Linked DNA regions of Oryzias latipes. The protein of the gene in region 1 purifies or fractionates together with the protein of each later gene. This does not show direct contact. Links are inferred from orthologs where the notes say so. Each region holds a gene or a part of one and is shown on either strand. Other genes may lie near its edges.

Evidence for each region.
Region 2: the proteins of nploc4 (region 1) and aspscr1 purify together in Homo sapiens (affinity purification with mass spectrometry; 3 studies listed by BioGRID and IntAct, with this or other methods). This does not show direct contact. The link is inferred for Oryzias latipes from reciprocal best matches to the Homo sapiens genes NPLOC4 and ASPSCR1.

Annotation. Positions count from the first base shown.
Region 1 is NC_019877.2:22,101,880-22,105,693, forward strand, and holds part of nploc4 (nuclear protein localization protein 4 homolog), read right to left. Parts: intron 2,626-3,814; coding exon 2,516-2,625; intron 1,650-2,515; coding exon 1,422-1,649; intron 1,353-1,421; coding exon 1,304-1,352; intron 1,231-1,303; coding exon 1,136-1,230; intron 1,049-1,135; coding exon 925-1,048; intron 807-924; coding exon 627-806; intron 539-626; coding exon 452-538; intron 209-451; coding exon 137-208; intron 1-136. UniProt on the Homo sapiens protein: The ternary complex containing UFD1, VCP and NPLOC4 binds ubiquitinated proteins and is necessary for the export of misfolded proteins from the ER to the cytoplasm, where they are degraded by the proteasome.
Region 2 is NC_019859.2:28,955,907-28,959,720, reverse strand, and holds part of aspscr1 (tether containing UBX domain for GLUT4), read left to right. Parts: intron 1-539; coding exon 540-597; intron 598-670; coding exon 671-744; intron 745-1,094; coding exon 1,095-1,545; intron 1,546-2,608; coding exon 2,609-2,662; intron 2,663-2,800; coding exon 2,801-2,940; intron 2,941-3,310; coding exon 3,311-3,392; intron 3,393-3,467; coding exon 3,468-3,534; intron 3,535-3,659; coding exon 3,660-3,722; intron 3,723-3,814. UniProt on the Homo sapiens protein: Tethering protein that sequesters GLUT4-containing vesicles in the cytoplasm in the absence of insulin. Modulates the amount of GLUT4 that is available at the cell surface. Enhances VCP methylation catalyzed by VCPKMT.

The DNA.
Region 1 (3,814 bases):
AAGACAACATCAGGTTCAAAGACAGCAGCACACAAAGGCTGAAAGAAGCTTTTCCTATGAGACGAATGAAGCAGCGCTGGTTCGATCCCGGCAGGTTAGATGGAGGAACGCAGCTTTGGCCCTCTGGGTTATTTACCTGGTTCCTCAGGTAACGGACCGTCCCTATCCTTGTATCTTCAGACAGCAGGTCGGTGAAAATCCATCCCACCTAATTCAGGAAAGAGGGAATCCATGTGTCATTTGGGTGAGAACAAGGACTGTTTCTGCTGGCAAAGCTATAAAAACCAGCAAGACAACCGTTTATACTCAGAAACATTTTTACTACATATTTTGAAAAAGGGAAATCAAGTGTGATTTAATGACCCGATTCAGAAACTAGGGTTAAAGGTCAAAGCCTTGAACTGTTGAGCAGACAGGAGAATCTGAGGATCACAGAAGGAAACAGCTCCACCTTGCAGAGACCCAGTTTGGCTGCGATTTCATCCACAGCTGCAGCTTTCGGGTCCTCCAACAGCTCCAGGCTGTTCTGGTTGGCAGTCTGTAACCCATACAAAGGTTTGGTTACACAAAGAAAGAGTTTCCCTTCATCCTGGAGGGGAGGGGGACGTGTCGGCTGGGACTCCCACCTGTGGGGGCTCGTAGATGGCAGCCACCTCGGCTCTGATACCCAGAGGGATGTCTTTGTGCTCCGTGTACCTGCCGTACAGGTATCCCACCCTCTGGCTGCCCGTTTTCCTCCAAAAGTCCAGAAAGCGATCTGCGATGGTGTGGTTTTCAAACATGATGTTGTCCACATGTCTGTATTTCTAAAGCAAGACGGACACAAACTTATCAAAGTGGTTGTTTTGTGCGAGCCACAGAAGCCCAGTGCTGGTTTTTCCAAAAGAGCAGAAAGCCTCACGGAGCTGTGCTCTGACAACACACCTGTCTGTTGAGAGTTATGGCACTGGGCTGGCACTTGGTGCAGATCCCGTCTGGCCAGGGCGGGTGACCCTCGCAGCCCGACTTGATCTTACAGCTGATGTTCTCCAGAGCGGCGAACTTCCCTCTGCGGGGAGGGGAGTCCGGTCAGCGGTGAGTTTGACAGGAAAACCAGAGGACCGGAGCCGACCGTGACGAGCGGCTCCTCACTTACTTATCTGCTCCACCAGTCAGCTTCCGGAGGTTGGCGTGGAACGACATGTGCTTCACCGGCGGGTCCAGGTGGTTCAGGTAGTCTTCATCAAAAGGCTGCATCCAGATGCAGAACAGATGTTTAGGGGAGGAAAGCAGTTTGGTTTTTAGAGAGAAAGGAGGGATTTACCTCTAATGGAACACAGTGTACACATTTCCCAAGGGCGCCATGGCGACACCTGGAAGAAAACAGAACGGTGAAGCTTCCAGCGTCGGATTCCGTAACACAGCAGCATCTGGACTCTTACAGCTGTGGATCTCTGTTCCGGTAGATCTTGCCATCCTGCTTAGCCAGATACTGATCGATCTCGTCCTCCTGGACCTGGGGGGCCGAGGAGGACCGAGGGATCAAGGAGGATGACGAAGAGGAGGAGGAGAGAGACGGTAGTGATGAAGACGAGTGCGGGATGGCTGTATCCATTTTTTCCCCGGAGGAAGAAGATGTAGACGGGAACAGAAACAACATGTCCCCATGCCTACAGTAAAAAGATCAAAAAATGATGACAACCCGACTAAAGTACAGGTACAACCCAAAACTTAGATTATTAAAACAAGATGTACTAGCTGTACCAGTCAGTTTAATGAATGCAGCTTGCATTGTGTGAAGATTAAAATACTTTGAGCTTCACTTTATCTTCATTTTAATAAAGGAAGTGTAGCTTCTCAGAAATAAAATCCGGCTGATCAAAGGAAGGATGTTCTCCACACAGATGTTCTGTTCTGTCAGCCGCTCATTCCTATGATGGGAATTCTCGGTTGGACCTGGTGTTGCACGGATGACAGCGTCACGTTCTGCCCTGGTTCTGCTGACAGCTGCCTTCAGGTTCGCCGGTTCTGGCATCTCATCTTCCTCTAAACAACGGTCCATAAATCTAAATATTCAACAAACTCGAGGTTCCTGTGTCGGTGTGAGCAGGTAGCAAGTCAGGGAGAGCAGCAGGAAGAGCGGTACACCGTCCCGCCAAATGCAAACCTGACTTTGGACCATTGAGCAACAGCTCCTCTCTATACCTCTGAACCATTCAACAGAGAGTGTCAGAACATGTGTAGGGTCAAAGGAGATGAGATGTAAATGTATCAACAGTTTCCACTTTGATTCTCGTGACCAGGAGCGGCCTGAGAAAAGACCCGATGATGCTCAGACGAAGCTCAAAGTCTGAACTAAACAGCTGGAGAACCAACAGAAGTATGAAATCTGACAGTCATCAGGCACATCCGCGTCTTCTAGCACTGGAAGATGCAGCTTGAATGTTTCCGACGATAAGTGTGCAGAGGGTTTTACGCTGTCATTCTCAACACAACGGCTGTAATGTTGATTCAGGAAGAGTTTTCTTGTACTTACTTAATCTTGAGTAAGCTGAGGGTTTTGTTCTGAGACAGGATCTCTCCGGTCTTGTTGCGGTTCAGATAAACTGAGAATCCATTGGAATTAAAGCCAAATTCTTTGGCCACCTGCAGCAGAGATGAAGTTTGTAGAAGACACACAAGATTTCTTAATATTGTCAAACGGAAAACAAAGTACAAGCTCCAGTGTTTTCCCCAAAGACAACTTTGTAAATACTGAATTCTTGCTGCAGTACAACAAAAACAGCAGAGCCTCCTGTAGAGCAGCTTGTCGTAACCCAATTTTCAGCTGCTGGGACGGGAAGGCCGTCCACCACAGTGCCTGACAGAAAACCAGCCCCACATCTCACTGCGTTGAAGGAACTCCCTGCTATCATTCATATGTCGCTTGTTCTGACAGGAATTAAATGACCACAAAGAGTTGGTTTCAAGTCAGAGAGCAAATGTCGTCATCCATCCTCACTATTATCCAAAAACAGTCGCTGTTCTCAGGTGAACACAGACGCTGTGTCCCAATTCCCACCGTAAGCCCTACATACTGCCCTCTATAGTGCCCACGCGATATTTAGAACTGTCTGAATCTACAATTCCAAAATCCAGTGCCCTAGAAATTTCCCAGAAGTCTCTGCGAAAAACCAGTGTGTATCGATGCTCACTAGATCAACAAATATAGACCACAATGCATTGCAGCGGAAGAATTTTTGCCAATTTTTTTTTGTTTTTTTTAAATAAACCATCAACATTTTTATCTTCAGAAGACAGTGGAGTCATACTGTAAATAATCGTTGCAAAACGCTCATAATAATTAGATTTTAACTTCATGAAATCCATGACATCATATCCACCATTAAAAATAAAAAAAGTGGTGAGCGTGGTGTCTGAACACTAGATAGTTTTTTAGCAGTGACGTGCAGTCAGGAGAGGCAGGTGAGGCTGTGCCTCACCTGTCATTATGGGAAGAAAAGAGAAAAAATAAATTCAATTATTATATTTAATCAGTAATTTGTGCTTTGCAGTCTTTTTCCATTTAAATTTACCATTTCTGGGTGTTTTTTTCTTTTCAAAATCGCTGAATTTCCGCATTTGCCGTTCAGATACTAAGAAGTGATGTGTGATGAGGCACCAGCCCGCTGAGCCTCACCTTGGATTGCGCAATACCTATGCAGTCAGACGGTGCTGCTGTCTCTCTGTATGTCGGTTCAATCACTTGTACTATATGAGCTGAGTTTACATAATTTAGCAGATATATTTGATGCACAGTGCTTGTTTTTATAAATAACTGTATGTGAGGGACGTG
Region 2 (3,814 bases), on another chromosome or scaffold:
ATGGTTCCAGTGTTGCTGCAGACCAGCAGGTTTACACAGGACAGAAAATTGAAATCCTCTAGCTTAGTCATGTTTTGTGTCTTCTGCTCATCAACCAAATGTGGAGTCAAGTAAGTTGGTGAACTTCTTATAAAGTGAATTTTGACATTTGCAATTCATAATTCCAACTCTGCTCACTGTTATCTGACAGTTTAATGATCAGAATCTCTCATGAGGATGGTAGGACAGGCACAATTTTGAGGTTTTCTCTGCTTCCCTTCACAAAGTAGGTGGCAAAAAGTAAACTTCAAAGCCCTGTTGGCCCCGCCTACCTCCCATTAACCCCCCCCCCCCCCCCCCCCCCCCCCCCCAAAATGCACAAATTTTAGCTTTAACAAAACATTTCATAGAAATCTTTAAAATCATTTCTGCACTTCATCTCCCACCAAAATGCCCACATATACGGTCTTATGGGGTCAGAACAAAACCTCAGAATGCTGGGAGGGGTCCGGCCTCGAGTCTTCATCATTTTATCCTGTTTTGTCCCTGGATGTGTTCAGGGAGGCCGACCTGTCCGGATCAGGATCCACCCCAGTTTGTGTTTACATGCGGGACGAGGTACGAGGCTCTCCTTCAGCCCAGACTCACCCCCAGAGCCGTTGGGATTACAGCGCAGCTGTTTGTGTGGCAGGTGAGCGGCGAGGAGGCGCTGAAGAAGACCAGCCTGAAATCTCTGGGTCTGACCGGAGGAAGTGCCATCATCAGGTAGGCCCCAAACAAACAACGGGCCAGTTCATTTCTGGACGCTTGGTTGGGGGGGTCACATTAGGTGTGGGAAGAGGAGCGGAGCTCAGGTGAGCGTTCCCACCTGCTGAAAGAGGAAGGCTGCTCTGACTGAAGACAATGTTTTTAAAAAACAGTTTGAACTTCTTCAGAGTTGGTTTGTGGATCTTGTGGTGGTTTTTTTATTCACTTCATTATCAGTTGAAGGCGTTTATGCATTCTGTTCATTTTTTTGTTTTCATTTAAAACCTTTCATTCATTTCATATAAATTGTCTGTATGCTTTGCTGAGTGTAAAAACCTGCAGATCATGAGATGTGAGGCCTCTTCCAGGTTTTTGCTAAGGAAGGATAAAGATGAAGATGCTGCTGTGCCAGTCACACCTGTTGCCATGGTAACCAGGCAGAGCCAACCTTCTCTGTCTGATCCCACTCCGTCATCCGCGGAAGGTTCCACATCTGCCCCGCCTGAAAGCTCCATCCCCGTTGACCCATCAGAACCTCCTGCCACGCTGATGAGCAGCACTTCTGTTCAGCACAGGGACGCTCAGCCCGAACCCCCCCCCACAGAAACTCCCCCACCTGCTCAGGAGGAGGAGGAGCAAGCAGGACCATCGCAGGCGAGCTCTCAGCCCTCCTCTTCTGTAGCTCCCGTGGCTCCCTTTGTTCCTTTTTCTGGGGGGGGTCAGCGCCTTGGGGGTCCAGGTGGGGGGACAGGTTTCCCTGCTGTGGTGGAATCCCCCAAAGCCAAGAAGGCAAAAGGCAGCGACGGTCCAAGCACCAAGGTGAGCCGAACTGTGAGAGGCATCCTGAACCAGGGGGTGGGGGGGGGTCTGGGAAAAAGGGGGGGCAGCAGGAACCGGGACACTGGTTCTGTTGGGTCGGAAATTAAATCCAGTTCTTAAGGTGCGAAAATAAAGTTTTACCATGGAATGAAAACAAATAGTTAGTGACTCATTTTTAGCAAGAGCTTTGTAAACATGTGAACCCTTTACTTGTTTAAGGAAAAAGTGTTTTTCCATTTGAAAGATGTGTTTTCTAAAGGAAGTCTCGTTGAGTTTGTGGACAGATGACAAAGGTTCTAGATCGTTCTGGATGGGATTTTGAGTTTTTATAGTGTGTGTGAAGGTTTGACCAGAACAAAAAGGAGGGTGGGCGGGGCTTGACAGTCATCATTTGGCGCTGCGCACGCAGCGCCAAATGATGACTGTCAAGCCCCGCCCACCCTCCTTTTGCACGGCCTGCTTCAGAGGAAGATGCTTATTAACGGAACCAAACTATCTGCTCTCATAGAAGTTCTGATGTTAAGCTGCCATCCCGCTAAAAACCCGTTCTAGCCTTATGCTCCGAACAAAGTTCATGAAGTTAATTAATTCTGAGTTTTCCAAAGTTTAAAGATCTCTGCACTCAGATGCTTCAGGGTTCTGCTGGCAGAAGCTGCGACTCCTTGGTAGCCTGACTTGTTAAACTTTCGTGTGTTCTTTAGAACCCGATGGGTTTAGGAGATCATGTGTAGGTGAACATGCAGCAGAACATCACATCTGCAGATCCTACTGATAACAGTCATCTCAGAAGATAATTGCAGAGTCACGGGGAGTTTGAAAGATAGTGGAATGGTTGGCTTTGATCTTCTGATGAAGAGTAGCTCTGTCCTCTTCATCAAGATCAGTGAAGATCTCAGACTGATGGAGAAGATGAGCTTTGCAGAAGAGCATAGATCCTCATTTTAGTTTCCCTGCAGCTGATGAAGCTCACTCTTCTTCATCTGTAGTTCTTTGCTGGGATTATATAACTTTTCTCGTCCCTCATTTGAATCTTAAAAGCTCAAACATGAATCTTCTCTGGCAGGGTAAACGCGCTGCTCACCTTAAGGACCAGGAGGAGAATCCGGAGTTTTTGGAGGTCAGTGCCAGCTTTTCACTCATCCTCAGGTTTGGACTCATTCATTTGCAGATCTGCTCGTTTGTCCCCAGTGCGGTGTGAGGTTCCTCAGCTGATAGAAACAAGCATTCTTCAGGTTTCTCTTCTTCTCGTCTGCAGCCGGTGGATAGGGAGCCTCTCATCTACCACCTGGACTCCAGACCCCATCAGGCTCAGGACCTGGGAGATCTGCCTGATGAGTTCTTCGAGGTGACGGTGGACGACGTGCGGAAACGCTTCGCCCAGCTGAAAAGTGAGAGGTGGGTGTGTTGGGTGGGTGGGGTCAAATGAAAGGGTGGAGGTTCTGCTGGAGCCAGAGGAGCTGCTCAGCCATGCGCTCCATCAGGTTTTCTGGAGCTCTGCTTTGGACCAGCTGCGTCTTCTGTGACTGCAGGTCTGCTGGTTGTCAAACGGCACAAACCACAGCCTAACAGGGTCACTGCTTGGTCGTCGTCTTCCATCAGCACAAGAGAGCAAGAGTGAAGACCACCACACACCCCTCAGTCTGCATCAGTGTTCACTTAGCCCCGCCTCTTTGCCACAGGGGCGTTGGGGCACTCACTGGATGAAGTGCGTTAATGTTGGATGGGTTTGTAACAACTTTTGTTTGTATGCATCTCACTCCTGCAGGAAACTGATGGAAGAAGCTCCACTCATGACTAAATCTCTGAGAGAAGCACAGATGAAGGAAAAGATGGAACGATATCCCAAAGTGAGCAAAGTTCTGCCACATCCTGCCATCTAAAGCCTCAACCCTCTTTTAAAACCTCTGCTTCCGCTTCTCCAGGTGGTCCTGAGGGTCCAGTTTCCAGACAGACATGTCCTACAGGGCCTCTTCAGGCCTCTGGAGACAGGTTTGAGTTCTGTCGTACCAGGAATTAGATGCAGCCCTCCGACAACCTGGAGGAAAACCCCTCACATACGTGAATGAACTTTGTTCAAGCATAAACTTTGTTTTTTTTTTGTGTCCTTTGTGCAGTTGGTGCTGTCAGACATTTTGTCAGGACTCACCTGGATGACGCTCAGCTCAGTTTTTACCTGTGTAAGTTTGTCTGAGTATCCACAACATCTGCTTTTCCAAAGAACCGTTTGAGCTTAAACATCTGCTTTTTGGATGGAACCAGGATCTTTTAC